Linked DNA regions of Struthio camelus. The protein of the gene in region 1 interacts with the protein of each later gene in a pairwise test. Links are inferred from orthologs where the notes say so. Each region holds a gene or a part of one and is shown in the gene's direction. Other genes may lie near its edges.

Evidence for each region.
Region 2: the proteins of SPDL1 (region 1) and DNAAF4 interact in binary tests that used the Homo sapiens proteins (3 or more experiments, as listed by UniProt). The two-hybrid records come from large-scale screens. The link is inferred for Struthio camelus from reciprocal best matches to the Homo sapiens genes SPDL1 and DNAAF4.
Region 3: the proteins of SPDL1 (region 1) and CA8 interact in binary tests that used the Homo sapiens proteins (3 or more experiments, as listed by UniProt). The two-hybrid records come from large-scale screens. The link is inferred for Struthio camelus from reciprocal best matches to the Homo sapiens genes SPDL1 and CA8.

What each region holds. Positions count from the first base shown.
Region 1 is NC_090954.1:18,863,983-18,875,077, forward strand, and holds the start of SPDL1 (protein Spindly), read left to right. Parts: upstream 1-6,839; 5' UTR 6,840-6,967; exon of another isoform or gene 6,968-7,564; intron 7,565-8,672; exon of another isoform or gene 8,673-8,748; 5' UTR 8,749-8,895; intron 8,896-10,087; 5' UTR 10,088-10,131; intron 10,132-11,095. UniProt on the Homo sapiens protein: Required for the localization of dynein and dynactin to the mitotic kintochore.
Region 2 is NC_090953.1:16,153,018-16,163,798, reverse strand, and holds the start of DNAAF4 (dynein axonemal assembly factor 4), read left to right. Parts: upstream 1-5,498; 5' UTR 5,499-5,532; coding exon 5,533-5,655; intron 5,656-6,189; coding exon 6,190-6,337; intron 6,338-7,099; coding exon 7,100-7,233; intron 7,234-7,787; coding exon 7,788-8,028; intron 8,029-8,773; coding exon 8,774-8,919; intron 8,920-9,495; coding exon 9,496-9,605; intron 9,606-10,317; coding exon 10,318-10,471; intron 10,472-10,781.
Region 3 is NC_090943.1:135,085,388-135,096,346, forward strand, and holds the start of CA8 (carbonic anhydrase-related protein), read left to right. Parts: upstream 1-6,208; 5' UTR 6,209-6,341; coding exon 6,342-6,420; intron 6,421-6,682; coding exon 6,683-6,874; intron 6,875-10,787; coding exon 10,788-10,912; intron 10,913-10,959. UniProt on the Homo sapiens protein: Does not have a carbonic anhydrase catalytic activity.

The sequences.
Region 1 (11,095 bases):
GGCTTGTCTAGGTACCACTTACAGAAGAAAGTTAGCATTCATTTGAGTTACTATATACTCCAGCTTTTTTTAAATGATGTTTTGACAAACAGCTTGATAATCTTGTCATGAGACTGACTGATCTCTTAAGCCACAAAAAAATCCCAAAGTTGATATCGCACATTTATCCTGGTTGTCTTTGGCAATTATGTAATTCAAAATTTTGCAATTGTGAATTTAATCATGGATATTGGGAAGACTTGGGAGCCATATCAAATTTGACCTGATTCTTCAAAATAGGATGAAAGTCAGGAGAAAGGAAAGGGCATTGTCTAGGAGATGCTGTTCTGGCTGTAACATAAATTTCCACTACAGAGCTTGGCTCTGAATTTATCCACTGAACTTTGTATGTTTTTACACTTGGACCACTAACTATTACACAAATTCAAGTATTTCATTGTGAGGCTCTTGGCCTATCCAAGTGAATAAAAGAAAATGTAACAAATATAAATAAAAGTAATGGTACGTGTTAACTTTTCTGGTGAAGTGCCTGAAAATTTGCTTTTGAAAAAGACTGTCACATCTACTTGATAGATTTGCCAAGTAATCATTTCAAGTCCTGTAGGACAGCGTGGGATAAATGTTGCATGGCACTGCGTAGACGTAGTATATTGCTAAAGCAAGAATAAAAGTGGGTCCTGTTTCTACTGCTCTTCTTAGGCATTTTGAATTTAATATTATTAAAAGATGGTACAACTGGTTGCTTAAGAGCAGAATTGTTAGGTGCTAGCAGAAGGCACAAAACTTACATCCATGAGGTTAGAGCAGTTTTTATAGAATACAGTTCTTCACTTCTAGGATACTGTTAGAATCGGTGAGCAACTTGTGTTAAATTGATAATAGTTTCTTCTTTTGACCATATCTACAGTGGTACTACAACTGGAAAGATCTCTGTAATGCCAAATACATGTTATCTAGATGATACAGAATAGCTTTGAATAAGCAAATAAATGACCATGAAACAGCATGTAAACCATATAACTGGTAGATGGAAACAGCAGATCAGTCCACTGCTAAACCCAGGTGCCTACTTTTATATGGCAGAACATTATTTCTGGCCTTCTGCTTTGCTTCAGCTACTCAGGTCCTTCAATGAAATAGTCAAATGACCCAGCTGAACTATTACCTCCTTCCTTCCCAATGCTTTTCAAGCCCCAAGTGGGAACCAGTTAGAAGGTGGCTAGCAAACCATGTCCTTCTTGATTGATGTGTACAAAAAGCTAACAGAATTTAAGCAGAACAGACTGCACCTAGTAGGAAAGTAGTACAACAAAACTAGAAATAGAAAATGTAAGTGCGCAGAATGAGGCATATATTTGCAAATTTTATTTTAAACAGAATTAGAAGGAAAGGGGAAACTACTAAAGGAACAAAAGAATAACAGACCCAGTACTCCAGAAAGACTCAAACCATTGGTAACTACTACCAGAATGCACAAAAAGAAACTGAATACCTTTTTTTCCCCCATTTTGTTAAAACTGGTTCAGCATCTTACACAGGAAGCAGATTGGAAATCTGATCTCCCTTTGCCTTTTATTACTTAATCTCCCAGATAATCCTACTACAGGTTCTAATCCTACTGTTCTTCAAGTGTATTTTTTTCAAAAGTACTTTTTGCAACTCATGTTTATATCCTTAAAAAAAAGTAGGTATTTCTAAAAACTTAGCGTTCACTTCAACACTCTTCATGATTTTGTTTTCCCTTTTTTTCACCATTATGGAGCTTGTTCATATTCTTTATTTTGATCTGTAGGATTATATCCACTTGAACATTTAAACCTGTTATCATATATCACAGTTATACTTGGACTGGGTCTCTAGGCCCCATTTGTATTGACAGGGTTAACTCAGCACATGTGACTAACCCCTATGTTCCTTCTTCTGTCACAGTGGCCACTTCAGTTTTCTGTGAAAAGTGTATAACGTGAGTAAATATAGCCCAATTTGGGAATTTTGAAAGCAGCAAGAAGTGAATGATAACCACGATTAAGATTAAAAGATGGGAACGATGATGTTCTAAATTTAAGAGTCTAATATTACTCCATACTGAACCATCGTGTTTTCCTATCTCATGGGTTGCTCTCAAACTGTACCAAGTCCCATTTAAAGATCTGTAGGCGACCACACTTGAGGAAGCAGACTCTTCTGGGGAAATGCCATTCTTGGTAAATGGATCAGAGGCCTATTTCATGTGCTGCTGTATTGTCAGGCCTGTAAAACTCTGTATATGCCCTGTGACAGTGTTCCAGCAATTGAGTAACCCAGCACAGCTGTAACCCAGCACGGTGTTAATCCTGCATCACTGCTGTGCATACACTTTCTGCAGACAAGTCATGTTAAACATGAAGACACTAGTCTTACTCCTCAATTGAAGGAAATGGACTTGTTGAACTGGAAAGCTGGTAGTAAGTACATACCAAGGGAGAGATTTATTCCTTGAATATTATTGCTCTGCAGCAATACTGTAATTACCTACTGTTAATACTGCATTGTCACTGTATGTAAACACATGGAATAAATAATCTCCATGGAAATATTAATAAAATGGCTCTAGAACAAAATGTTGCACAGAAGTGCTGGCAAACTATTTAGCATTCACAGTTCATTAAAAGACCTGTTGTATCGCACGGCGATTACAGCCTAAGTGGAATTTGGGTGCTTATCCTACTAGAGTAAAATAACTGCTGATTGCATTACTAAAACTCCATGCCAAATTTTCTGGTCCATTTCAGTTAGTGAATAGTAGAAGACAAGAACCTACTTTTTAAGCTTTAACCTCGGAAATTCAAATCGCAATTTCTTTAAGTCATAAAACTTTTGACTTCTCTATATATTTGTTACTGTTCAATAATCAGAGATTTTAGCTACGAATGCTGGCTTTTGTAGATTATTAAGCAGCTGCAGGAGCAACAGAAAATGCTGTGTTAAAATCAGATACCAGAACTAAGCATTTAATACTGCATACACAAGAAATTTTTGAAGTTGGAGCGTGCAGATGAGCATGCCACTGCTTAATTTGTGCTTCTATATTAGTGACATAGCATTATGTAGAGCTAATAAGCAGTGGAAACTGCATACATTTCTATAAACTGTATGACAAATAGTACTATCATGTGCTCTTATTAAAGGTATCATTTCCTTGCTATAGTCAGTTTCTATGACACAGCTTAATTTAATTTCCTTCGCTTCTTATTTTGCTACTGTGGTTAAGGAGCTGGCAAAGGTTATGGATCCCAGGTTTATGATTTAGGGAGTAAGGTAAGGATGGACTATGAAGGATGCTTGGCAAACATGCTGCTTGTCAGCAGTTAAAGTGGAGGGAGTAAGTCATATGACAAACAGCAAAACTATGCTGGCTTTCAAATCCCTAGCTGGCAAAAGAAATTCATACTGGTTTACAAAGGGGATAAGTAGCATTAGATTAATAAGAAAAACTCAAAACACCTCTTTGTTAAGCAAGGATGACTGAAATAGTGGGATCATGTGATTTGGATGAGGTCAGTCGCTAACAGTTTAGTGAGGATTAAAAACAGTGTGCTACTTGCTCTCCATCTGTTGCTGTAATCATTGAGCTACTTGAGTTCTTTACAAGGCAGGGATTAGTGCTCTTGGGATTCACAGTAATAAACTAAAACATATAGACTTATGAATTCTATTTATTTGAAGGAGAAAGTGCCTCATCTCAAAAAATAGAACAGTTTAATGATATGCCAATTTAAAAATGTTGACGGGATTAAGTCTGGGCTTCTACGAGGTTGCGGTAACAAATAGAGAAACATGGCTTCAAACTGTGCAAAACTAAGTGCTCTTAAATACTGCAGGGCAAACCTAATGCCATAGCAAGTTTTCATTATATCAAACCCTGGATTTGTTGTGCCAAAATGACTTAAGCAGCTAGTAATCAGCTGCTTCGCAATAGGCTGCTGCTAGTCATTTGCTCGCTTCCTACAGCACTATAGTCAGCAAAATACTTGTCAGTACACTGTCAAAATTCACTGAGCAATTACCAGGTAAAGTCTAAGACAGACTTTTTAAAATATAATTTGCCTTTATGTACATAAAGGCAAACAAGCCTCCTCTTCAGAATAAACCCATCTACTTTCTGTAATCACTCCATTACTTTTGAAACGTTTTTGAAACGAAAGAAACGTTTGTCTGCTAGCATAGATAAGGCTTAAAAGATATGCACTTACATTTTATACAAGGTCAGAAGTGAGAAGTGCATAGATTTAATTACATTTAGCTACCTAAAATGTCAATAAATAAAAGCATACAAACTACATGCTTAGGAAACATTTATGAATTAGAGTAAGAAACGGGCTTCTAGAACCTCCATAGGAAAACATAAGCACTACTGAGGTCATATGCTGGAGAAAAGTTTCTATGAGCCAATATGTAGTTACACAGGCAAGCCACAGTGATGAAACAAAATCTAACCTGACATGAAACAGCAGAACTGAGAGTTTTTTCCTAGCTGAGAATGGGACAAAAGCATTTGACTCCATAAAGCCAAAATATACTACCACTGACAGACTTAATGACCATGTCATTGTATGTTCTTCTAAAAGGACCTAAAGTAAAATCTAGCTTCCTATAAACTGAAAAAAAGAACTCTGCTGTATAGGCAAACTGTAAATATTGGTTTTATTTAAGTATTAAATGTTTAGTTTGTCACATCAGTGAATTATTTTGTAGAATTCTGACAAGATGGTCACTCCACTTGGCAAATCTAAATTACAAATAACTTAGTAGCAACTGATGCATGTGTTTATCTATTCACAATTTAGTAGAAGTGAACTGTAAAACACTATCCTAGCTACTGCCAATTCAGTAAGGAAAAGGGAACAAGCTCTGACAATAACAGCAGCCTCTAAATAATGAATCAGTTGATTTGTAACTAAGCACCTAAGTCTGTTCTAAAGGCATAAATGACAATTCTAAGGAAAGGAATGTATAATGAAGTTTTCTTATGTATTTCTGGTCTTAAACATCAGCTGCTATCCATGACGGTGGATTATTTTTTTCCTAAAATAAATGAAGAGGGAAAAAGGCAGCTGCTGTTTTAACAGTTCTGTGATTTAGTATGCCACAGTGGATAACTGATCTGGTACAGTAATCATGTTAATACTTAGCTTTTACAAGGTGCTTTATATTTTCCAAGCTGTACCCACACTAACTGTAAGGAGAATTATATGGATTTGTTAATTAAGTCACTGTTATCCTTGTTTTAAAGCAAGGGAGGGGTGAGCTGGGGGTATTTGGAGTGGCTAGTCACATAGTGAATGCAGCTGAATCAGGATTAGAAACGGATTCTCTTGTTTCCTGCCCCTGTTTCAATCAACTTGTCATTCTTGCCTGTCTAGACCATTCTATATTTATTTTTTAAACCTATTTCTATTGAGAAAAGCTAGACCCACACATTTTGATAAAATAGTAGAATTATATATACTAATATGTGGTTCCAGCTATTTTGCTGGCATTCTCTGTAGAACTTGATACCATGTCCTTATTTTCCAAGCACCTTTTATCTTAAGACTTATCTATTTTTGTCCTGGTTGCTCCAAATAGGATTGTTACCTCTGCATTCCCTTATATCCTGTTGCTTGAATTCAACCTTGCAACACTGGAGGCATGTTTCTTTAAAGTCAGAGTTTGCTTTAAAATATTTCTACCTGTCTGACTTTTTGGGAGACACAGAAAGTTAACTATTTAAATGTTACTTTCATCCAATTTCTAGTAGCAGGGTGTACGTGACAGTACTGGCAACTCCTTTAACTCAAATTTGAATGCCATCAGCAATCACATGTAGAAGTGCAAGATCGTAGTCACTGGAAGATGTTCAGCAATAACCTGAACATGAATGCCCCAGGAAAAGCATACAAAGCAAGTAGGGCAGACCATCTACAATCAGGTGTAGAAAATGAAGATGAGTGGAAACTAGAGCAACCTAGGGAGAAAGAACAGGTTAGAAGTGTAGTTGACAGCTATGCTACAAATGCTACAATTTGGTGCATAACTCTCAGAAATTTGAAGGGCTAGCTATGGGCACGGCTGTGTTTCCTCTAAAGAAAGGCTTGGTTGAACGTGATGGTTGCGCTGCTTCCCCAAGGCTAGGCATCCTCGGCAGTCCCCACTGAAGGACGGTATTTCCTTAATGAGGAAAACGGTCTGCGGGACAGAGGTGGCACTTAGGGCATTCTAGTGTCAGACCAGTAATTCCTCTGTAAAACACTTCATGGGAGACGCAGTTTACCCTTGAACTTGGCAGGTCTCCTAGATGGCACCAAGCACTTGGTTGACTTCTAATCTGACCACTTACTCTGCACTCCTTCCTTGAGCGAGGTGGGACCACCTGCAGCTCCAGAGCTTGGGGCTCCATCACACCTCCAGGCTGCCACACACCTGCTGCGTACAGCCGGGGAACCGCAGCAGCGCTTCTGACTTTGGGGACTTCCCCTCCTTTTCAGAGCGCGCCCCACGGCGCCCGCACAAACACCCTGCTGCCCTGGCGTCGCCCTAGCACCTAGGCCAGAAGGTTTCCTCCACGGGTGGCCACGCTGGGCCTGTAAGCAAGCTCAACGGAGCGGCTGTGTGCTGTAACGAGCCGGGCGGGGGCACGGCACGACCGCCGCCAGAGAAGGCGCTTCCGCGCCGCACCGCCTCAGCCGCGCCGCACCGCCTCAGCCGCGCCGCACCGCCTCAGCCCGCGGCCGCTACCCCTCCCCCCGCCCCGCAGCACGCGCGGTTCCGGGCGGCGCGCAGGCGGCGCCGCGCACGCGCGCTCGGCGGCGTCCCGGGGTGGTGGGGGGGAGGGGCAGGAGGATGGCGGCCGGTCTCGCGAGGCTTGGGCGGCGCCGCCGGGGCGGTTTTGAACGGCGGCGGCGGGGCCGGCGCGGGGTGTTGGCGGCCGCGCGGCCGTTGGGCTGAGGTAGCGCTGCGCGGCGGCGGCGGTCGTCGGGGCAGGGGAGGCGCGGCGCGAGCCGGTTTTCCTTCACGCGGAGCTTTTTGCTCTTTCCTTACTGCCCCTTGTCCGGGGAAGCGGGCTCCGGCGGCCGCTTTCCTGGCTCGGGAGCGGCAGCGCTGCGTGGGCCGGGCCGGGCCCTCTGCGTGGTGGGGCCGCGGAGCCCCTCTTGCCCTGCGTCCTTCCGTCCGTCCTGTCAGGCCCGTGTCTTGGGGGGCTGGGCCGGGGGCCTCGCGGTTTTCGTCAGGTCCCTCCCCTCGGCGGGCTCGCCCCGCTTGTTTGCTGGCTAGGCGAAGCCCTGGCAGAGCCGGTTGTCGGCTGGCGAGGTACTTGGTAGAGACTGAAAGCTCAGATTGGGGTCCGATTTCTTTTGAATGCTCGCCCACCCAAGACTATGTTCTGGGGAAGCTGAGAAGCCCCCCAAGTTATCTCAGTTGTTGAGTATCTCAGTTCGGCAGGTGAAGAAGTGGACTTGTTTAAGTAACTGAAATGAATTACAAGGGGAGTACCTGCCCTGGGGAGAGAAATTATGTCGCTATTCATGGTAGCGGTCGGAAAAACTGCGTAAGTACTTCTGAAGCGATTGGTGATGCAGTTGTCTTCAGGACAAGGACAGGTGTTACACACGGTCCCTGGGATTAGTAGTGTAACTAGAAGAGTCTGGGAGGGGAGAGGAAGGCTTGCATGCCAGGAGAGTGCCTTTTCATCCTCTCCCCTGTTATTTTTATCAAGGAGTACTTAAACGGTTGAGTAATCAAAGTCTAGAGCCTTCAGTACAGGATCTGTCATAAAATGTTTGGGGATATCTAGCCAGAAGTGAGTAATGTGTAATTCTTAATAGATATAAGGAGACTGGTTTTTGTCATCCCCCCCAGTACCCCAGGGTTGGAAACAGTTCCCTGTGCTGGCAGTTGTGAATTGACTAGAGGGAGCATGGAATGCAAACTTAGAAAAAGTAGTTTTGGTCTTTGCTATGGATACTGAAACATGACTTTTTCCCGGAGACAGAAAAGCTAGAACTCTGTTTAAGCAGCAGAGTATGAAAACTGATTAATTCTGTTTTGAATCTTGGGATTATTAGCTAGTTAATTTATCTTAAAACAGAATTCTTGAATAATTTACTTCTTGCGTGGTAGGAAATTGCAAGCAGTGACTTCCCTGTGTAATCTTATGGGCTGGTGAACACAGCTTATTGGAGCTCTCTGATTACACTTATCCGAAACAGATGATAACAGAGTTGAGGATCTTCTGTGCTCCTACAGTGTCTGAAAAGCCATATTTATTTTTTTTCCAAATACTTGGCAAGACATGTGAAGTAGGTGCCTCCTTGCATAGTATGTATACTTTCTTATAGTAGGAAATCTATTTATCTTTTTCCTCCATACTTTGGCTATAAAATTAAAACCAAAACCTAAAATCTTTTAGATAGTAACCAGTAAATGATTTATTAAGATACAAAGATCTTGTATGCAAAGGTGGAGGGAGAATGCAAAAGAGATTGAAGGAGAAGGAGAGAGAAAGGTGAAATTCCCAAACTACCTTTAAAAATGAAATATGTGCTGGAAGTAGATGACCCTGGGTGTAGCCAGTTTCCCTGCTCTACAAGTAAACCGCAGAGCATCTATCCCTTGCCAGTGTTGCCTAATCTGGCTGTTTCTCAACTGTCTGACAGCTACCTCAAATGAGATTTGAATAAGATTTGCATTTCTATGGGGTTTTAACTAGTGATCTGCATTTTCATGGGACAGCCACGGGCATCAAGCTGTTTCAGAAAAGGACTGTTATGAAGAAATTTGCTGTAACTGCAGTTTATACTCATCCAAGCTAGACAACTGTTGCTTTTTTTAGAAAAATAGAAGAATAAACTCAAGAAAGAATTAAAAGGACTTCCGAAGGTGAGTTAAAAATATCATTCAGAGTTAATTTTGTAAGCTAGGAGCAATCAAATTACTGTATCTGAAATCTTAATGTGTTACTGTTTTATCAGAAAATAAACAGTTTTTAAAATTCTCTTTCTGAAATGAATACGGATTAATTAATCTCCTTTGTCTACACAAATTCACACCACAAGCTCTTGCTTTCTTATGGTTGTAACATTACAAATCTTATCCCTCAAGCATTGCACTATTAAATTCTATACAGTGTTTAGTGTAGGTGTCCTTGTGCTAGTATATATTGTTGACACTACTTAGATGTTATAGGTATGCCAAATTACTGACTTTCAAAAAAAATTTTTTTGGTAAATGTGCGAAGCTAGTGTTTCAAACAGCAGTAGATGAATATGAATAATTGAAGTTTCAGAGCCTGGCCAGATAAAGTCTGCATAAGTTAAACAACAACAACAAAGGCTTGAAAATTTGAAAAATAGAATACGACAATTTCTGTCTTTTCACTGTGAAAGGAAGTAGCATGATTTTTGGCATGATGTCCTCTTGTATGACAAAATGATAAATTTTTGTTTAAACAGGAAGTTGTGAAACTCCAGTAGAAATACCTTTATTGCATTAAAAGTTAGCAAACAAAATGTTAAAGTTAATACTTTAACACATACATTTCAGTATGGTGATGACTCATTAATACTGTGAAATTTGGTGCAGATTAAGACAAGCATCTTTTTAACATTTGCAAGGATAATATATGTGCCGGTAAGAAATGGTAGTGATTAAATTGCGTAGGTAAAAACAAAAAACAGTGAGTAAGATCTTCAGTGAAGAATGAACTTGATTGTGAGGACTAAGTGATTAAAAAAATTATGAACCTTGGCTTTGAAAAATCAACTGCAAAAATTTTTTTGTAATCGTATATTGTTGTTACTGTATAATTTCTGAGAGAAAATTCTTAGCTTATGTTGTGCAGAGCCTGAGTCACTTGGCAATTTCTGTCTTAATAGGATTTATCTTCAGTGTGCAGGTTTACTAGGTGTTAGGTTTGGGAGTTGGCCGTCATGCAAAACCATGTTGTTAATCTTACTCCTTTTAGGTTTATGTGGTTATTATTTGGGTTTTTTTCCCTATTTTGCTTTTTTGGGTTTATTTTGATCTCCTCCTGCAAAAGCAACCTTTATTCATGTCTTATGTTATGATACAGAGATAGAAGTGGATGAGTTTTCTGAAACACATGGCAAAGAGAAGGTATGGCAAACAGATATGTTAGCTGAAGTGATCTAACTTTGAAGTTGAAAACAGTGATGAAAGACACAAGTATTATGCGTGCTTTAAAAAAGTGGGGGGAGGGGCAGAGATAAAGGAGATGGCCCATTTTTTTATTAAAAAAAAAAGTAATTTTAATATTAAATCTATTCTTAATTCATTTCTTCCACCTCCTCTATATGTTTGTATGTCCCACATAATGTTATTAGGAGTAAAGTATTCTGCTAATACAGCTGCCTATATGAATCTTATTAAGTGTTACTTATGTACACAATTAAAGCTCTAGTTAGTCCAGGTTTATTCTATTCTTGTTTTGTGTATTATGGTGGAAGATTAATTGAGAACTGACCAATTTGTAGTCTATCCAACTATGTTTGAGAGTTTGGGATAACTCTATGCTCTGTGCTACTTATGATAACACTAAAAACCATATGCCTTATCACTTGCCTAATGGTGTTTTTAGGAGGTTGTTTCCTAGCTTATTGCCTTCTCTTTCATTATATATGGTAAGATGGCTAGATATTAGATAAACTCTGTGTTTCTAATGAACAAGTTCTGTATGCGGTGAAACTGGGCAAGGTATACCAGAATTGTATTTCTGTCATGTTCCTTGTAGTTTTCTGTTTTGTTTTTGATGCTTTTGAATTGTGTAACACAGCAGCCTCTCGAAAAAAGACTGGGAGTTTGAACAAATAAATCGTTGTGAAGCTAAGGGGCCCCACTTGAATTGTTCTAGCTTAGAGCTACTTTGGTTTTGATACGGACTTATTCTGCAGAGTATTTTGTATGTGCATCACCTTTGTTTTTGCTGTATGTAAGATATCTCATCATCTTATTATTCTAAATAGCTTTAACTAGGAGCTTCTTCAATTACCTCTAAAAGTCATCACTAGTACTGTTCAATGGAAAGTAGTGAAGGTTTTGGTTTCCCATGGGCTTAACTTCT
Region 2 (10,781 bases), on another chromosome or scaffold:
ATGAAAGATACTGAAGACGCAAAAGGTAATATGATAAAAGTTTGCTCTATTTAAAACAAAAATATAATTTTGTTATTATGTTTTGGGTTGTACAAACAGGAACATACTTTGTCACCTCTGGGTGGTTGTTTTGTTTTGTTTTTGACTAAGCACTAATTTTGTAAACACACTTTCAGGCTTAACTTCAAGCATGGGAGACTTCTTAATGAAGTCAGTAGAAGTGCATGCACAAAGCCAAGAACTTTTCAAAGTGTTTGCAGTTCTGGGCCCATGACTTTTTTAGATATTCTTAGGTAAAATGCTTTTTGTGGTTTGAGATTTTTGCAAGATCAGTGGTGTTCAAATGTAGCACCTCTTCAACATTTTTCTTTCTTCCAACTTAATACAGACAATACACATCTGCATAAAATATATCCTTTTCATTTTATATATAAACATTGCCTGCCCGTAAAAGTTTTGGTGTAACATTTTTTAAAAAGGAAGTCATGCTTCTTATCATGTTGTATGTGACTTAAATGACTGTTTCATATTAAAACTAATCTTTCCTTATGTACTGCTTAAATATACCTGTTTTGGGATATCAGTTCAGTACTTTTTATACAATCTTGAATGTGTTCCACATTGGTGACATGTATTTTTGCAACAGCTTTTTGTTTTAATTTTAAATTAGAGCATGTCTGAAGTAATACATGCATTAGTGCTGTGGTGTGTGGCAAAGTTAACGTATGTAATTCAAATTGGAAAAAAGTTTCCAGACTTTGTCCAACATTAGCCCTGTGGCCAGGGATTAAATTACTATGTAATACAAATTATTTCATATCATGATGTGTTTTAAGCTACTCTATGAAGTATATGAAACATTATTGTTTATGGATTGGTAGCTGGCCTGGTATCTTGCATAGAATGAGGTATGATAGATGGTAGCAATTCATGATAATTAAAACTGAATACCTTTCAGAACACGCAGCATTTATGTGCATTGTCATCTTGTTGCCATAACGCTTTATGAATTCTTTAATGTTATCCTCTGACAAATGGGTGAACATTTGGTAGTATGTGTATGGTTGTGAAAATCCTATTCTAATACTCCATCTTGTTGTTAAAAACATGTAGTTTTTTAGCTATTGGATGTGATTAGATATATGCAGGAGGATGTAGAACTGGATGTATTTTTAAAATTACTCTGCAATTGCTAAGTTTTGTCTGAAGCTTTCTATATTAGAATAGACTTTTCCTTCAAATTGGAAAATTAAGTGTACTTAGCAGAGCTCTTAAGGCAATATAACTATCCTACGCTACGTCGTTATGCACATTCACTTCTTTGTGTATGGAACTCCTATAACTTCCATCCTTTACGTGGAAATAAAGGGTCCCTTAGTGCCCTAGTGCTGCGTGGCATCAGTTTTGAGTTAACTAATCGTGAATGGTGTTCAGCCCCTTTGAGGTGCTGCTTTTAGCTTAAAGAGTATTCAGTGTGGCCCTTAGTTTATTGGTTCAGAAACAGCTTATACCAAGGTCATAGGGAATACCTATTTTGTTATTGTTTAACATACATGATGGTTTTCCTTTTTGTGTTTAAACAAACTGTCTCTCTCAAAAATAATTTCTGATTCAGCCTTATTTTTTTCCCTCAGAGGTTATGCACTGTACTTCAGAAATTGCTGTATTGGAGATAGTTTGGTGACTGGAGTCACAAGAGATGTTGCGTCTATTCCTAGACACTAATCTCATCTGCTGTTACCTAGATGTTTAACAAAGAATGGGCTCAATCTGAACTTTCATATAATTTAGGGAGGGTGAGCTTTTTTTTATATTCATTCTCTAATTTCTTGGCTTTTCACGATTTTTTTTTTTTCTGAAATGTGAAATAATATGTAGTTGTTGAGGAATTTTTACTTTATAGCCAGTCTCTCCACCAAGCTTTTTTATATGGCCTTTAGAACAGACACTGTATTCTTTAGGGCCTTCTTACTTGGTTATCTTTTGTTTGAATTCTCCTTTCAGTGTTAAAGACTAGTTGAAAAAGGCAAGTTACCAATCGACTGCCATCCAAACAGTACAAAATATGAGCTGATTAAGATTGTTGACACTTAAATTTTTTTTATAAATAACAATGTGATATTTGACCCTTTTAGAAGAAGATATATCAGGATCTAAATCAAGCATTCTTGGAAAACGTATATGGCAGATTTTGTCCAGCACTGTATGTAACTTTGTTGCTTTCTGTTTTCTGGTTTCAGTTTCTTTTAAAATAAAGCTAACTCTTGTGGGGAAATTGCCTGTTGATTTCATGAAGATAATGTAATGTATAGATTAACTTTTCTAATGTTTTGCCTGTGAGGATGCATTTGGATTAGGCGTAATCCAGGGCAAGAAACAGTTTGAGGCCATATTGGTCAGAAAAGATAGCTCCTAACTCTCTTGGAGACGTCTGCTGTTCTGTAGTGGCATTAATTTAGAGCTGACTTTAAAGCAGATTAGAAGAGGTCTCGCACCCTGGGCCCCATTTCTTTCTTAGGGGATAAGAAGGGTTCAGGTATTGTTTGGCTGCACAGATTGCAGAAGTGTCTGCATTTGGAAACAGATTACGCAAATAATTATTATTTATTCTAATTTACAAAACTCATACTAAGCTGTCTCTGTTTGAAATGTCACAACTAACACATAGTGAATCGGTACTTTAAAGATAATCTTTAAAAGCAACTCATATGGGCTAAAGCCACACACTCATAACAATGTTCACTGGAATAAAAAGCATCTTAGAATATATTCCTGCTCTTTCTAAAAATATGGATGGATGAGAGAAAGGGGGGAGAATTTAGAAAGGATGGAAAAAGGTCATTTATTAAATTAAAGATAAGAAAATGTAAACTACAAGGATTTTTTTTCTATATATTAAAGCCTCTGAAGCCATTAGAAATGAGCTAACCCCTAAAAGAGATGGATGATATATACTGACAACCAGAAGGTCCAGAGGAGTATTAGTAAAATAAGATTTGACAGGGATATAAATCTCCATCCTTCAGAGCACAGGAGACAGCAATTTAAGAATAAAGTTTTTGAACGGGTATTTGATCTCCTTGTTTCTTGCACTTTTGCCTGCTGAGTTAGTGCCAACGGAAGAAAGATCCTGAATGGACCTCTATTCTGGTATGGTAATTCTCATATGGTTTGTTTTGCCAAAGTGTCATAGCAAGAGCTCAGTCACTTTTCCAAGTAAGCTAGCAATGTGGAATGCATATGAAGTAGGTGATGTTTCTGCAGGTGTGTGTCAATATCTGATTTGCAAAGTTGATCGAAGACCTTGCTCAGTCCCATTCCTCTATGTGGGAAATCGGCTAAATCTGCTACAATAACTTAGAAATTTGTTAGTGACGTTTACTGTAAGTCTTCTACGAGTGAAATAAATAACTTCTGCATCGGAGATCTAGGAGAAGACAGCATTCAAAAGATCTAAGACTTCTTATTGTCTGTGAATGAACTCTCCAAAACTGAAGGATACATTCTGGATGAATACAGCTACATTTGGACTGGTAGGGGATTTTGAGTTACTGTTACATTATAATCATTGTAGCCAATGCCGCTATTTAACACCCTGATTTAAAAACAAGCAAAAAAAAAAACCCTCTTCCATTGCTTCATCCAGGAAGAAGGAAAGTAGGATTTTAACTATTGTGTGCAGTTTTAGCCTCTCCAATCTTAATATTTAGTAGAACTGGAAAGACTCAGAGGTTGGCAAGGAAGATAAAGGTATGTAAAAGAAATCACCAAGTAAGCTAAGACTCTTTCTAGAAAAAAGCCATCTCCTAGAGGGAAGCCTGAGGTCTGTAAAATCCTGAATGGCAAAGAAAGGATGTTTAGAAATTCATTGTTTCATCCTTACTTCAACTTGTGTTGAGTTCGTTGCCTCTCAATACAACAACCAAGAGGTATTAAAATAAAAAGAACACAGGGAAGACTCCTACTCAGTGGTGCAGATCTGCCATTAGTCAGAAGTTCTGTATCATGCAAGTTAAAAAAAATAAATAAATAAATAAGGCACTTTGCCTTTCAGTTAAATCTTTTTTTTCCCCTTATGCCTTTGAATGCTCTCAGAATGAGGAATTTAATTCAGATCTGAAATTCCAGTCCATGCAAGCAATTGATGATACTGATCTTGGTGAATGAGGGTAGAGAATAATCAAGAGATCATATCAAATAGGATGCATTTCTTGCTCTGAAAGTTTCGAACCTCTGTGAGAACTCTATATACTGCAGCAATGAACAGCAGTAGTTAGCTCTTAGTAACCACTACCACTTGAACATTGCTTTGGAATATAGCTATTAAAACCTGAACTCTTCATGTTATAATATAAATCTTAAATGATACATCAGCTAAGACTTCTGATTTGTGCAATGTTAATCTCTCTTGGCCACATTAGAAAAAAAAATAAGGGGAAAACGAGACTTTTTGGTTCTTCTGGATTCTTGTCAAAGGGTTCCAAGTAATGGTATACTTTTGAGGAACTTAAGCATACCTGAATATTTATCCGAAAGTGTTTGGCTTGCCTTTCGACCGACATTTCCCAGAAATGCTTGCTTCTATACCCTAGACTTTATTTTGGCAGATGTATTGTTATTGTTTGTTTGAGGAAGGTTGAGCAACACTGTTCCAATTACCTCCTGCGTTTGTGATAAAGACAGTCAAACAGATAAAACTATGTAAGGCAGTGGCATGGAGTTGCAAGGATAACGTTATTTTTTAGAGATCATCTGGAAGTTTCAATGTATCGCTGAATCGGTACTCAGCTTTTAACAGTTTTTACTATAAATTCTCAAACTTATAGCAGTCTGTCTTCTTATGGAAATGTCCTTGGATAACAAGAGTTGCGTTCCTTCCTACTCCGCTCTAGGTGGGAGTGATGGAAACCAGAGCAGTGCGCCTTGCTTCATGTCTTCGGTAAGTAAATGGACCGGTATCTATAGCAGGATTTTGTCAACTAGTCTTGCTTATATAAACTTACAACTTCCTTCGCATCATCACTGCTATTTTGAGCCCCATGGATGGTTTTTATCGTCTTAAAGCGGCTCCAGGACTTCAGAAGCGAAGAACGCCTCACGGCTGCCGTCTCAGGCGCTCCCTCGGGGCCGGGGGGGCGGCACGGGCCGCGCCGCGGGGTCCGCCGGGCCGCCCCCGCCGCTGCAGCGGGCGTGACCGCGCGGCCCTCCCCTCCCCTGCGCGCGTTTCGCTGCCCCCGCTTCCTCCCACCGCCTCTTCTGGTGCTGCTTCTCGGGCAGCAGCGGCCGGGGAACCGCGGGGCCCCGCGGGCCTCGCTACCCGGCGCCGCGGCCCCGCCCGCCCCGGCGGACCACAACTCCCGGCCTGCACCGCGCCCGCGCTCTCCTGCGGCCCTATTGGGCGAGGCCGGGGCACCCGGCGGCGCTGTCACCGGCGCGGCGCTGCGGAGCCCGGAAGTGCTCGCGGAGAGCAGCGGAAGCGCTCCCTCCTCCCCTAGCAACGCCGGCGGAGCGCCCCTGGCAACCGCCGCCGCCATGCCGGTGTGGCTGCGGGACTACAGCTGGCGGCAGACCGACTCGGCCGTGTACCTCTCGCTGCCGCTGCGGGGCGTGCGGGCCACCCCGGCCAACATCTTCTGCACCGACCAGTACCTGAAGGTGGGGGGCCGCGGCCCTTCCCTCCGCGGGGAGGCCGCGCTGCGTCCGTGGGGCTGTGCCTCGGCGGTAGGGTAGAGCTCTGCGAACGAGCACACGCTCGACATGCCATGTCAGCGCCGCCAGTTTCATGATCTCTGGCATCGTCTCCTCCCTTTGTCTGCTGCGGGCTGCTAAATACCTATCACGCTGGAGATAGTCACTTTATCACCAGTCTTCTCCTCACAAATACTCTACTTAGCAGCTACCAGCTGCTTTTTCTCTCATCACTGGTCTGAGTTATCCACATCTGATTAAACTATGACTGAGAACTCAAAATGTGAAGTCCATTGCTCCTATTTCAGTTCTGAGGAGCAACTTCCATCTCTTACTTGGCGTAATAAAATACGTAACTTCCATACCTCATACTAACCAAATAACGTTTTTGATAGTAGCGTTTGTTTCTTGAGGTTTACTGCATGCTTGTACTGGATGTTTTGAATGTCTACTCGAGATGTAATAACTTTAAATAGTAGTACACATTTGTTATTTTTATAGGTAAGCATCCCACCCTTTTTATTTGAAGCTGTTTTATATGCTCCTATTGATGACACAAATAGCACAGCAAAGATTGGAAATGGAATCATTTTCTTCACTTTGTACAAAAAAGAAATGGCTATGTGGGATTCACTAATGATCGAAAATGGTAAGTTCTCTATTGTGGAAAAGTAAATTATGTATGAAGAACCAAAACGATGTCAAAATTCTTTTTCTGAAAAGTTTGGAAATTCGCTGCTTTTCTAATTGTGCTATTTTGTATAAAGAAGTACCGCCTTTACCTACACAGCTGGCTTTGCATGTGTTGTATTAGTAAATCTGAGAAAGTTCATGAACTCTAGTCTGTCACTGAAAAGCACGATGTTAGTTGGGGATCTTGCGTCATACTCCATTTATTCTGAGTTGCCAGCCATCATTTCCAGAAAATTTTCAGGTGATATTTGTAGTCTTACCAGTTTCACATTCACACATTCACCCTCAAAATCTAACTTTGTGGGGTCATTGTTGTGCTCTTCTGCTGAAGTGCTGAAAAGATTTCTAAATGGCTAGAAAAACCCATGGTGGGGGGGAAGTTCTCTGCTGTAACCTTGAAAGCCATAACAAACTCTGAAATTTCTGCTGCTGAATCTCTGCAAAGTTAAACTCTGTTGTTCATTGTTAAAATTATAAAGTAGAGGAAAACAACTGAATGCAAAACATCTTCTGGTTCTGGTGGGTGTGTTTTGGGTTTAAGTAAATCCTGGTTTTTTTTCTTTCAGAGGTGGGCTTGATAGAGACTGCTTTGTGGAGTTTGAACCATGTTTTGTTGCCCTTTATCAGATGAAGTAACTTAGACTTCTTTATGAACATGGTACATGACAGTAGAACTTCAGGCCTAAATTACTAGTTTGTTTGCTGCTGTTGTTCCCAGCTAACAAGGAGAAACTGCAATATCTAAGAGAGAATGCCATTCTAAAAGCCCATGAAAAGGCAAAAGAGGAGGCAGAAGCAAAAAAAGTTACAAAACAGGAACACAAAAAATACGCTTTGGAGGCCACAATGAAGGTAAGCTTACAAGGACCTCTACTAGACATGTAAATGTAAGCAGTTGCCAACTAATTTGGCAGATGTTTGATATTCATCTGTATTGCAAAAAAAAAAAAAGTTCATCTTTAGTATCAAGTTTGATAAAGTAGGAAACCTAGGCAAGGAAGTAAAAAATGTATTTCCCGCAGAATAAAGGAGCTATGTGAACAGCATACTTTGTGTGTTGAACTGAAATGAAGGAACTTCTAAAGTGACAGGAAAAACTTACTAAAGGTTTTATTGATGGAGTTTATTTTATCATTCTTTAGAATACAAGTAGAACTTTATTTCTGAATGTTTCTAGATCATCTCTCTAGTAGTGGTGGTAAAAGAGTTAAAACATAGCTAACTGAAAATCTTTACTTTCCCATTCATTTTGCAGCATCTTTCATAACTCTGCTTATATCATTGCATTAATGATAGTGTTGGGCTTGGCATATGAAACTGGGAAATAATGGTATATTTTATTCAGTTAATGGTATATTTTATTCAGTTATCAGATGTTACATATCTCAGTTTTATCCTACAAACAGCTAGAAGCAGCAGAAAGAAAAAGAGTTGAAGATCTGAAAGAACAGGAGCGGCAAAAGGTCACTAGGGAATTGGAGTTATGGAAAAATCAGCAAAAAGATATTGAGAGACAAAAGAGGATACAAGGAGAAGAGGAACTGCATCAAGCAGTAGAACAATTACGGGAAAGGAAAAAGGACAAAATAAACAAACCTAGGATTCCTAATGACAGAAGTTCTAAGACCAGAGTCAAACCTACTAAAGGTTGTATTGTTGGAGTCTATTTTGTCATTCTTCAAAGCATGATATAATTTTATTCCTGGATGTTTCTAGTTCATCATTTATCTTTGTCTCTATATACCATACTGAACAAATTCTTTTAGTTTGCGGTTATTTTCGTATCTTTATTTTCTGTCTCTTTATTGAGCTAAAGCATGCGAGTGCTTAGCTCCTTTTTAAGTCATTGGAAACACAAAGGCACATTTTGCTCTAAGCTTTAGGAGAGTAAAGCAGAAAGCCTTTCTAAAGGTCTCTCTGAAGGTGGTGTTCATGTTACTGCTAAGCTATCTACTTGTTGCCATATAGAGAAATCTCCTTTTGCTCTCTTTAGTCCTTATCTTGGTACACAGAGAGTTGGTTCAGGAAGCTAAACTAACAGAAAATTCTTAATTTTTTTTGTTTGTGTTTTTGTTTTGGTAAGGTTAGTTTTAGCCATTGAATTTGGCCCACCAAGGAATCATACAAGTGCCAGAGATGTTGACGTCACAGGCGTTTTAGTTCACTTGCGGCAGATAACATAGCCAGTAAATAGGTTCCATAATACAGTAAGAACAAACCTTTTCAGAGAATTTCCTTCAAAAGAAGTCCAAACTTATTCTCAAGTAATAGCTTGAGGTTTATTTCCAGTGTGCAGAATGCTAAATTAGGTACGCTTTGGGATTTGATAGAAAAATGGAAAAAAAATCTTTCACTTTATTTTTCATTTCTGGTACTCTAATTCTATTTGCAGGTCCTGGTTCCGATAGTATGTTTTCAGATAATTTAAAGGAAGAACAGTTACCAGCGCCTCGATCTGCTGGTACAATTAAAATCAACTTTACATCGCGGGTTTTTCCTACAGCTCTACGTGAATCTCGGGTAGCAGAAGAGGAAGAGGTAATGATCGCTCTCTGTTTTAGTGTGGTGCTTTCACTATCATCCAAGGTGGAAGTTTTGCAATATTTCCATCTTCCAAGGAAGGTAGTCTTAATTAAATTACTATCTAAATAAATGCTTTTACATCTAAACTATTTTTTACCAAGCATTTGATTGTCAGAATAATAAGTAGCATATTCTTATGTTTTTATTTTTTTTAATTGCAATATTAGTTGAATTCCATTAGGTACAAGTTTTGAAGTTTTTTTACTCTTGTCTTTAAGATTCTTTAAGTTCTGCCTTTTTAAAAAATACTTCACAACTAATTCTTCTGAACTCTACTAGATGAACACGAACAGTCACTTTTGGAAGTTCTAAAACAAGCAAGCAAACAAAAATGTATTGGCAGTGCAGTAATGTTGCTTTACACATAGCAATAAAATATTTGGTGAAATCTGGAGCTTTTCATACCTCTGCCCAAAAATATGTGGTAAAGAGAATTATTTTAGTAGGAGTGAATGAATAGATGAAAGGAGAATACTTTTTTGGATTTGAATTTTTGTGCAGAAGTAATACATTCATTTTGTATACTTACAGTGGCTACATAAACAAGCAGAAGCTCGAAGAACAATAAATGCTGATTTATCTGAGCTGGAAGATTTAAAGGAAGAGGAAAAGAATCCAGATTGGTTAAAGGACAAAGGAAAGTGAGTTACACTCCATTTGAAGATGCATTTAAAATCAAATTTATTTGTTACATAGTGTGTGGCTGTTGTTTAGTTATGAGATTTTCTAATTATCCTAGACACAGATGGTGAATGTCTACCTAGGGTAGATGTTATTGATAGTATGGGGGGTTTTAGGTTGATAAAGTCATGAGATCCAGTTGGTGAAACTCATGATGGACAAATTCATTATAAGCACACAATGCACGTTTTAATACTGAGACAGTTAATTAGTTAATTAGTTGAAGATTACACCTAGGCAGATTTCCTTTCACTTATATTTTTTGTTATTGAGAGATTAAACATCTGTTTAAAACAAACTTCAGGAATTTGATACAAATATTGCTATGTGTATATAGCTGTGTTACACAAAAAGGTTAGATTAGATAATCATAATCAGACACACACAGCTTTAAAAACCAGTCCTGTGTCCTACTTTTAGTATTCTTCGTTGCTTTCAAGCAGTATCTTTTTTTTTTTTTTTTGCCAAGTTGGATATCTATGTGTTATATTATCAGCATTAAGTTTAACTGAACTTCAGCTATGTTGAAAAGGTTATAAATGACCATTTTTTTCAGTGAAAAGCGGCTTAAATTTTAAATTAAAAAATGAATTGTTAACAATAAGTAAATATTCATTTGGTGATGTTGCACTTTGTTTAAAATGAATGTTTTACTTTTTGTTATACACTTAGCAAAATGTTTGCAACAGGAGATTATCTTGCAGCTGTAAATGCATATAACCTTGCAGTCCGGCTAAACAATAAGCTTCCAGTGCTGTATCTGAATCGTGCTGCTTGCCACCTTAAACTGAGAAATTTACACAAAGCCATTGAAGATTCTTCTAAGGTATAAATATATCATACAGGTTTTCAGACTGTCATCTACATGAGTATAATCTATTATCACTGGGTAGTTTCTATCTTAAGCAGATTAATAAATAGTTTTTAAATTCAAAATTGAGATAATGAAGCCATGGTGAAAGATTAAAATTTGACATTAAGTGATTGACTAATGAAGTTTCAGGACCTGATGAAAATAAGTGCTCTGACACATTTGGGCTGAACGGAGCTATGTTGACACAGTACCAAATTCTTCACAGGAAAAATACTGTAGGAATATCTACACTTGAAAATAAGACTACTTGCAGCAGAAAAAA
Region 3 (10,959 bases), on another chromosome or scaffold:
ATAATAATGCAGGCTGTGTTACATTCTGAAAGCTGCCTCCTGGATACCCTGACTCCAGAAAAAGGATTTAATGTTTGCACTAAATAGCAGCAGAACAAGAGCTCCAATGTCTGACTCCATGGCAAAAAAAAAAAAAAGATGAGTGGTTAACATGCACGTAAAAAAGAAATGAATGAGGACATGGAAGGAAAACAAGAGCTACACTGCAGAATTCCGGTGTCTGTATTTTTCATGTGGAAAAAACAGAAAACATGCAGAAAAAAAGCTAAAAAAATTATACATGTCCTGGTCTTAACCTTCTATGAGTGTTAATGAGCTCCTTTTGTTTAGACTACAAAGAGGTGATTGGACTAAAGTGGACGAGTATATTAGAGAGAGAATATGAAGTAATAAAGATTCTTTAATCAAGGCAAACTGGCATAACATGAACCAATGGCTCGAAGTTGAAGCCAGAGAAATTCAAACCAGAACTGGATCCCCATTAGTTAACAGTGAAGGCGATTAACCACTGGAACAAACTGTCGAAGGAAAGTATTGAACTCTTCGTTTCTTGCTGTCTTCAGATCAAGGTTGCACACATTTTGGGAAAACGGACTTTAGTGAAACACGGGTTATTATTTATTTATAGCCAAATAATTGACTTAATATACAAGTAACTGTGTGAAACATAATAGCTTGTGATATATAGGAGGCCAGATTACACCCTAAACGTATGATTTATGAGCGTTACTGGGACTGGACACGTGAGCACTTTGTCATTTATAGATGTTTACATATTGATAAGCAAAAGTCAGTAGAACAAATGAAGAACTGACTCTCCTTTTGCCATCCCTTTACAGAACCAAATGCGCTGTTATTCCCCTGCCATTTACTGTTCAGCGCTTCCTCTTTTTCATGTGCTTCAAAGATGAAAAGCCAACACCTTTAAGCCAATACCTGCTCTGGCTCCTCAAGGGAAAAGCCACTCAGGCGCACTCTTTAGCTCAGTCCCTCCTTTTGCTTTGAACAGTACCTTGTCTTTCCCTGATCTCTTATTCAGTCCTTCTTTGTTAAAAATAAACAAAAATGTGTTTACCTAACTGTAATCATGGCGAGTCTTTAACATCTTATCTGATATTAAAGACATGAAATGATTACAGTTAGGTAAATAAATTTTCATCATCTCCTTAATGTAGATTTTCCCTCTGCACGCCCCAATTTCTTCCTTGAATTTGGGTCTGGGTGTCCCTTTATTTCTGCTTCCTTCCTAAAGGAATAAAGAAGTATTTATATAGGAGCTTTGCCATATCAGGACCCTTTATTATTTCTCACTCTGTGTTTCACAGAGATCCTGTTTCATCCTTTATCTATCTTTTCCTCTTAGCCTGCTAGGGGAAAGAACTCACTTCCTTTCTACTCATCTATTGTCTGCAGATTTCCACTTTACATTTGTAGTTATTTCACTTCATCAGCAATTCCTATTGTCTTCTCCACTTCTTACAATTCTTTACAGATTTTTTCTACAAATTGAGACCTGCTGGGAAAAGATAAGCTCCAGCAGACAACACTAGATTATTCTCTAATTTTTTTAGTATTCTCCTTAATTACATTGTATTATTTATCACTTCTCACTTGCCTTTTGTCTATGTTTCCTTTTTAGTCTTGAGAAGTAGTTTCCGATTCTGGGTTTTTTTAAAGGACTGAAAATTATCCCGTCTTAGATTTACTGTCTTCTGGATGTATGTGTGAATTCTCACGGGCAGTCATAATGTTTTACAAATCCGAATACTGGGAGAATATATACCAATTACGGCCGTTAATTTGGAAATATTAATGCATTTTTCTTTCATCTCTTGTGCACTCTTACAGACGCAATTTTACACACAAAAGTTTAATACCTTTATTGTAGAAACACTTGTGTACTTTTAGGTCTATGTGTAGATTTTAATTTTGAAGAAACTGTATTTGCTGTAAGGTTAAACATGTGAAGATCCATGTGCAGATCCAGACTTCTGTCCTATTAGCCGGTAAACGCAAGAAGCACAAATCTAAATTTACAGACCATAAAACATATGAGGGCACTGAAACCACGCTTTGGTGCGGATTTATAGGGAAATGGGAATCCAGCTGACATATCTTGCAATGTTTGCAGGACAGGATGTGCCAACGTAAACCTGATTTGCAAACAGATGGAGTCTTTCACTGTAAATGTTTTCTCCTTATTATAAATGGTCTCTTTATTGAAAATGTTTTCTCTTTACCCTGTCATCTTGCAGTATTTATACCACTTGACCATCCTTTTCCTTTTTGTACATTGCTTCAGCTGAAGAAAAAAATGATTGGCAAATGATATTATTCCAGAAACACACTGCTCTTTGGAGCCTTTCCTTGTAATGAACTAGCTCCTTTTAAAACATGCAGAGAGATTTTCAGTTTTATTATATATAAGCCTATACTTTAATAGATAAATACAGAAAATTTCGTCTTACACTTCTAAATTTGTAAAAGAATCAAACTTGACTGAAAGAGCAATCCAGCACGAAAAAAATACAGAAACAAGATCATGGGACAGATGATTGCTGGCCAACCTCATAGCGAAATACAGGAAGCAAAATAGGAAAGCCCATTCACTGAAAAAGATGCTCCTGATCCCTTTCGTGCCTTCTGTTTCTGTGTGGACACAACTTTTTCCTTCAAGTATACCTTGGTAAGATTACAGAAGCATAAACGCCCTCTGAATTCCTAAATGGTTCTCAAATGGAATACTCTAATATTCTCTGGAACATTTCTCTTCTTACTGTAAAACTAAATCTTGCATGTCCCCAAGTACTCTTCACTGGGAGCAAGGTAATAAAGAAAAAAAGTGAATTACATAGGACATAGGTCTTCTCACAATTTAAATTTTCAGTTCCTTGAATCAGAGAAATAACTGCCAGCTATGCAGCCTGCAGAGAATCCTACAACTCTCTAGATTAGACAAACCTACACGGAATTCTGTTCTGATTTTCTATACAGATTTCTTAGTAATCCGTACAGTTCTCTGCATCAGACTCTCCCCTCGGAAGTGGTGAAAGCTGTAAGTACAGTTGTTGAAATTTAACATCTTATTTTTTTTAAAAAAAGAAAACTAGTCATTCATGACAATTTACGGATACAAATCTTACAAAGTGTTTGGATGGAGAAGTTTGTTTCAGACTTGTTTCTCCCAGTGTCTACAATTTAAGGTGCTCAGGGAAGGTATATTGTCTTTTTGTGCTGTTCCTAAAATAACATGGCGGTAACGGTAGGAAAAAAACAATCAGTAGCCGTATAACACATAATACCTACATCTAGATAAAGTAAATACAAGAATAGTTCTTTGCAGTCTTATCAGGGCTAAGTATTATACCGAAAATGTTTAAAAATGCAGTTTCTCGCTTTGCAAAAGTGAGTTTTGGATTACAGGAAACGAGGAGACTCAGGCCCCTCTGAACCGATCTGTCCTTTGAGCTCTAAGAGGAACTGTTAAACCCTGGATCTGCGCATCAAGCTTTTTTTCCCGGTATCAACGAATGGTCAGATCGTTAATCTCAGTTAAGCAAGAAGCCAGCATGTTCCACAGAATCAAAGGCTGGACTTGGATTCAGGACAGACTTGCCTGCTGCTCCCGACTCTGCTGGTGATGTGCCGTGTGATTTATGAAGGCCGCCTTGGCTGTGCTTCTCCTACCATTTGTCCATCAATTTGATATTAGCTCTAGGGCCGCATCTGCGCCCTCCTATGGATTTACCTCTCTTGATATGCTGAGCCAATGTAGCAAACATTACTCTGGGCAAGAACACCACAAGCAAAGGATTTTCACAGAATAAAGAGCGTATTCATCTCTATTGCGTTCTTGTTATATATTTAATATGCTTTTAGAGTAAATCAACCACTTGTAGCTTCTGCACAAAAGCAAATTTTAAGTTTTAGATGTCTGCCAATAATAGAGTTTCTAAGATCGCTGTAAGGTCAGCTTAAGAAAAGAAACTAAGTACTTAAAGAGGGAAGAACTCCAAAGGAGGAAGTGGATGACTTGAGACAACTGTTAACAGAACTCAACACTAGAATAATGCTCTTTTCCAGATGACTGCGTTTTACACCAAAGGCACCGCACAGGGCACTTTCAGCTTATGTCAGTACAGAAACGGACTAACAAAGAGTGCAACGCTTTAAGAGTGTCTACATCCTTAAATGAGACCAAATCCCACGGATTTTGAGCAAGGCTTAGATCATACCAGTATCTCCACCTGATTCTGAGATTCAACACTATAAAGGTGGGAGCATGAATAAAGGAGTTGGTTTGAGCAGAGACTGTTTAGGTCAACATCTGCGTTTGTGGGTGGAGCTAACTGAGAGATCTCTGTCCCTTGCTCAGTTTCATGGCAGAGAGATGCCCTTCACTTCTCAGCTCCATACACACTTTAGCATCAAATACATTTTAAGAATCTTCAGCAGAATTTAATTTGCTGATTAGCTCAAGCTATGCCTGAGAGCAACTATGGAAAAGATAGGATATTTTCACAGAAAACAAATGAGCAGACATAAGGGAACAAAGAAATGCCAACTATTCATTAAAGCTTTACCTGCTGTGCCTGATTTTGCAGAAAGGTGCAGAAAGAATGGAAAGGTTAAAAGGAAGGGCAACAAACATAAGTAGAATATAAGTAGCTTATTTCTTAATTACAGTTGTGAATGGAAGCCATGAAAAGTAGTGTTAAGTATGTATTATAAAACAGGAAATCACGGGTCTGATTATGTTGCCGTTTGTAAGTGTGAAAATGTGGCACAGACATCCCACAGGAAAGCTACCGCAGGAAAGGACTTAGCAGAGGGCATGAATGAAGTACTGTGCTTCAGGGAGCAATGGAATGAACCCAGCTTCTTAAGACTGTTTTTTTTCCAAAACATGGGATTATGCTTGGGAGGGGAAAATGAATTTACCGCCAGATCGACCAGAATCAAACGTGATTTAGGGGGAACGTTTCTTTTTTCCCATGTGGCTGAGCAATGATTCAAAGGGACTGAGACTAATAGAAATAACTAGAGTGCATTTAAGAAATGGTTTTGGGATAAAACTGACTAACTGACAAAATCAGTTTGGTATGGGAGACAGTTACGTATGTACAACATGATATTCTTATGTGCCAAAAATACATGTCAGAAAATCTGAGTGTTCCAGTTGTACTGATGTAAAGGATTAACTATGAGGAAGAAGGTCAGTTTGGAGTGTGATCCTTGCTCACCAGCTAAGTTGCTCCTTTGCTGCAATGAACTGTACCACAGTTATCGTTCGTTTGGGTAGCATATACTCCTTTTGACCATCAGTGCTGAAGACAGTAACTAATGATCCTGCAGAAAGAAACCTGTGTTTCTGTTCTAATCTTAAAAAGGAAAAGAAATCCCCCAATAATTTCTACTACTTTTGTCCTATTTTCTTCCCACCTTGCGCATGGCTCATGAATCAGTGCTCTCTTGCTTCCATAATGAATGTCCAGCTTAATCCTTCCTCTCTGTCCATCTCAGTTGGACACGGATGTTCGTTCGCACCCTCTTTCCGGCCCTGCGCAGGGACCACGGCTGCCGCGCTGGGGAACACGGCAGCGCGACAAGGCCCATAGCCAGCTCAAAGCTTGCGGAGGAACAGCCCAGGATCAGGACATTATTTTATCCCCTCAGCACGCTGGAAGGCAGCGTGGTTTCGCCCGTACCTCGAAGCGGCCAAGGGCGACGAGGAAAGGGCGCTCCCACTCACCACGGTCGCAGCTCCGGCTGCCTTTCCGGGTTGCTCTTGGGGACCACAGGGCCCCCATTCCCCTCGGGTCACTGCCCGGGGGAAGAGTCCTATCGCGGAGGCCGCTTACTGCCCTTCCTCCCCGTGAACGGAGCAAACCTCCTCCAGCTCCCTGCCCTGCTGCCGGCCGAGGGGCCGGCAGAGCCCCCCGACCTCCTCGAAACGGAGGGGCCGGAGCAACACACCCGGCAGCCGCCTGAGCCAAGGGGTCCCGACCGGCGGGCATCGGGGGGCTCCCACCCTCCTGGGGGGGGGGGGGGAACAGCAAGGGGCCGAGCTGCCTCCCGGCTGCCAGGGCTGCAAAGAGGGGCAGCGGGGGGGGGGGGGGGCGGCGCAGCGGCGGCCGCCGCCCGCGGCTGTTGCGCGCCCCCGATGCCGCCGCCCCGCCCGCGCCCCCCGCGCCGCCGCCGCGGGGGCGGAGGCGGAGGCAGAGGCGGAGGCAGCGCCGGGCCGGGCTGCCCGGCGGCGCCCGGCAGCCTCGCCCCCTCGCACAGGCACTCGGTCGCACACGCCGGCCCGACGGCGGCGGCCGCCCCGCGCCCGCCCGCCCATGGCTGACGGCAGCCTCGTCGAGGGCGCCGAGCCCTGCCGGCGCCGGGAGGACGCCCCGGAGTGGGGCTACGAGGAAGGTGAGGGGGTGGCGGGCAGCGGGACCGCACACGCGAGGCGGGGGGGGGAAACCGCTTGCGCGGCCGCGCCGAAACCGCCGAGAGGAGCGGCCGGAGGCCGGCCGGCAGCGGGCGGCGGACCGCGGCCGCCGGCAGAGCAGCGCGGAGCCGGCCCGGCCCTGCCCTGCCCTGCGGCGGCCCGGGGCGCGGGGCCCGGCCGGCTGCGCGGCTGCGCTGCGCGGGGGCGCCGGTCTGCGCCTCACGGCTCTTGGTTTGGCTCTAGGGGTCGAGTGGGGGTTGATATTCCCGGAGGCCAACGGGGAGTACCAGTCGCCTATTAACCTGAACTCGAGGGAAGCCAGGTACGACCCCTCGCTGCTGGAGGTGCGGCTGTCGCCCAACTACGTGGTGTGTCGCGACTGCGAGGTGATCAACGACGGGCACTCCATCCAGATCGTCCTGAAGTCGAAGTCAGGTAGGGCGAAACACCGCTTAGGCGTTGCCAGTAAAGTCAGAACGAAGGCCGAAGCTCGTATCGTCGTCTTAAAGGCCCGCTGTAGGCGCGTAACCGAGCGCAGCACCGCTAGCTGCTGCCAGCAGCCGGCTGTTGGGCCCGTCCGGCGTTGCTGTGGCCTGCAGGAGGGCTGCTGCTGCTGTCGGCCGTCGGAAGAGGGCTAAGCTTTGCCACAGGGGCTGGAGGTCTCACCTCCGCGCTGACGGCCCGTCAGGTTGCTTTGGAGGAGCTGCAGCGTTTTCTTTTGTGGTGGTGTCATCTAGTTCGCTGGCATTAACAGTTGTCCACATTCGGAAACGGTCCAGCTTGTCACTCGGATCGCGGGACGCCGCATTACTTTGTAGAGCTGGCAAGTTTTGTCCTTGCTCCAAAGAGCATGGAAGTTCTCCATGCAGTTGAGTGGGCTGTGATTGCTAACTGTAGACTTCAACAGTTTGTTTAGGACAGATACTCCAGTTATGGACACTTACAGTGTTGATAAAGAACAGGTTGCAAATTGGTCCTCGCTTCTTAAAGAGTTTTTCAATAGCATTCATCAAAGACGAACTGAAAGCCAATAAAAGAAACAGTTCCAACTCAAATGAAATTGCAGGATCTCTTGACTCAGACCTTTAATCTAGATAACCTATTTTATATGAAGGAGATAACTGTCAGGAAAGTAAGGAGATCCTTTGTGTTTTCCAAACACTGTGGTACTTCTTCCCCTGTGTTTGGAAGGGTTTTTAAGTCATTCTAACCTATGTTAGCTAGTAACAGCCTTTATGGGGCAATTAAACAGCTAAGCATTGCCAAAGCCATTCCAACTTTTGTTTCCTTCTGAGATCCCAGGAGTCTTGGGAGCAAGGAAGTCGGTTCAGTTTTACACAGAATTTTTTGAAACAGAAAGGTTTCAGTTACTTTAATAATTGTTTTCCCTTATACTTCCCTTTCATGCTAGACTCTGTATTGTATTGCAAAACAGAACATTCTTTCCACAGAATTTTGCAGATTTCCAATGGAATAGTAATTTCGTACTTCCAGTCGGTTTTACTACCTTTCTCGGAAGCAGAGCTCTGTTCCCAGGGAACAAGGTTTTCTCTGCAAGATCTGAAAGGTTCTTGAATTCTCTTGCAGAGGAAGTAAGACTGACTGCAAACATAATTGCTTGCATGCCAAAGTGCTAATCATTCCACCCTACCTTTTCCAAGGGAGGTTTGCACCTTAATAGCAATAGTATAAAAATAGGAATAAACCAACACACCTATATGCGTGTGCAAAAGCTTTGGAGGTTTAGAGGAAGGAAAGTACTTCTTTTTAAACTTGAATACAGTGATGCCAGACTGGTGAGTGTTGACATATAAGAAACAATGTGAAATAGAATACAAGTTTATGATTGAGGTATGGCACTAGGATTTAGGAAATCTCAGTGTAGTTTCAGCTGTCCTTGGATTTCGTATTACATAATTTCCTATTCTCCATTTGTTGACTGGGGATAATTTTTCCTTTTTTGGGAGGTTGGGACAACATTTGTTATCCCTTCCTAGAAGAGAAAAGCTATGTTTGACCTAGTATCCTGGCTAATTTTCAGTGACTGCGGAAACTCATGCAGCTTCTCTTCCTCACAGGGGATCTCTGATGACAGGTCCGTTTAAGCCAGGTTATTTTAATGGGAACTGCCGAGCACTAAGTGCTTTTGAAACTCTATCCAATTAATGTGTAAGAGATTGCCTTCTACTGTAATTTTAACAGCCAAAGAAAAACCTCCTGGTAGAAAAAAATAAAATGATTAAGATACATACTAAAAATCAGTTTGTCGTTAGTGATGATTGATTTTCAGAATACACAGTCCATCTGGAATTCCCAAATCCTGCTTGTTATTTAATTGTAAACCTTTTTACAGGCTGCTTCCCGTTTGAGCATCATACATATGTTAGGCATTAGCTGGAAGAAGTGTGACCAAGTGTGTACTGGAACTGTATATTGAAAAACCTTTCAGAGGATACAGAGACTTCTCTTAAGCCAGCGGTGGATTGCACAAAATGGTTTCAGAATCATTTTCTAATAAGGTTCGAAAATTACTGAAAGGCAAAGAAACGTTAAACACTTCATCCACTGACAAAGATCAAAATTTGATGAACAGCAGAACAAAGATAAACGTTCTTCCTACATTGAAATACTTTTATCCTGGGATCTGTGTTGTAATATGAGCCTCAGAAAGAAACTCTTGGAAGCTCGTGCAGGTCCCGAACTACATCACACAGAGAACATTTGTTCTAGTTACATACAGGCAGGCATATGCACTAGGAACAATAATTTAAATTGGAGAAAACAGTCTGTTTTCCTAAAAAAACAGCATTAATAAAACATCCTATTTCCCTACATTCTTCCACGTTTCCCAAAAATACTTTAGCTGAATGGTTTCCCTCATGTTCATCAGATTTACGAGTTTTCATTATAGGATATAGGTATAGGTAGAGCGAGCAAAGATAAAAAAGGTTTAACGTGCAAATTTGAATCTGTAACTACCTTTAGGATGATTCATTTTAGAAACCCTGTTGGTTGTTGGTTATGGCATGTCGTTAAGGGAGGATTAGTCTGGGTATTTCACTTCTTTTCTGCAGAGTAATTGATGGTGAAAAGACCAATTGACAGTTTTCTTCCAGTTTTTTTATAGCTCTCTATTCTCATTTTTGTGTTTGTACAGTTGCAATATGATTCAATTGCTGAATTGTACTTAGTAGTATTACTCTATGACTTGTGCTCCCAACTAACTATATATATACATATACATATATAGAGTATGTGTATTAAATGACATTAAATGACATTTTATATTATGGAACTGTCATTGCTTAAAGCTATACATTGTGCAATTAAATAATTCTTATCCGTTATTAGGTATTGTAAGAGGTCCATTCAAAGTCTATGATATGGAAACTAGAATTTAATGGATTCCAAGGAAGACGAGAATGCCCTTAAAAATCTAGCTTTGGGTAGAAACCCAGTACTCAGTGATTTCAGCAAGAAGTTACCTACAGCTTGCCAACTGTATTTGGTATTATTTGGTCTGAAGCAGATTAACAAATTCCTGGACAGAATGCTTCTGTTAATTAATTCATAAGTATATTGGGACTCATATAGGTACGATTGCTTGTTTTCACTGCTTATTTTTATGGTGAAAGGCTATATTAATGCAAAGGAGTTGAGTTACTATATAGGTTGGTTTCTTTGTCTTGCAATTGTGGACAGATGCTGCTAAGACATTTTCAGTGTTTAAAAACAGCATGGCAGCCTAGAGCTGATTGTAAGTAAGGTATGTTGTTGCTACTGCATGGCAGGATCAGTTGTATCTGCATATGAAGGCATTCTGTATCTCAGAAACCTGACAGGTGGTATATGGCTGAACATCTTTACCTAGCAAAATATTGGCAACCAAAAGTTTCTATCAGTTTCCATGACTCACGGCAAATACAGGTGATAGAGATTAAGCATTTGGACAAGTTGGTGGTAGTTATCAGTTTGACTCAGAACCTCTTCACCATCTGTTTAGAACACAGAGCTACTCTCTTGGTAAGAGTTTTGAACTTATTCACTGCCCTAACTGATCTTTATCAGTGTACCTTTACACCTTTACAATGCTTCTATTTTGTGTTATGACCAGCTGTTCTGCCTCATAAAGCTAAGAAAACACCATAACAGTATTTTCACAGTTGTGTATAACTGCATGAATTTGGATGCCAAAAGTTAAGGTATCAAGGCTGTCCGCTTTTGTCCTCTCTAATACAGTCCCTAGTAAAGAACCTTGCAACAATCTCCCCAGTGTATTTGAAAAAATATATTCAGTGGCTTGTCTGCTTGGAAAGCTAAGTGTGTTACTGTTTGTGTTCTTTTCCAGTGTTAATAGGCGGGCCGTTACCTCGAGGACATGAATTTGAACTACATGATGTTCGATTTCACTGGGGGAGAGAAAACCAGCGTGGTTCTGAACACACAGTTAATTTTAAAGCCTTTCCCATGGAGGTAAGAGTGATGCTGCATTGCATAAGACCTGTTAAACGCACAAGGTT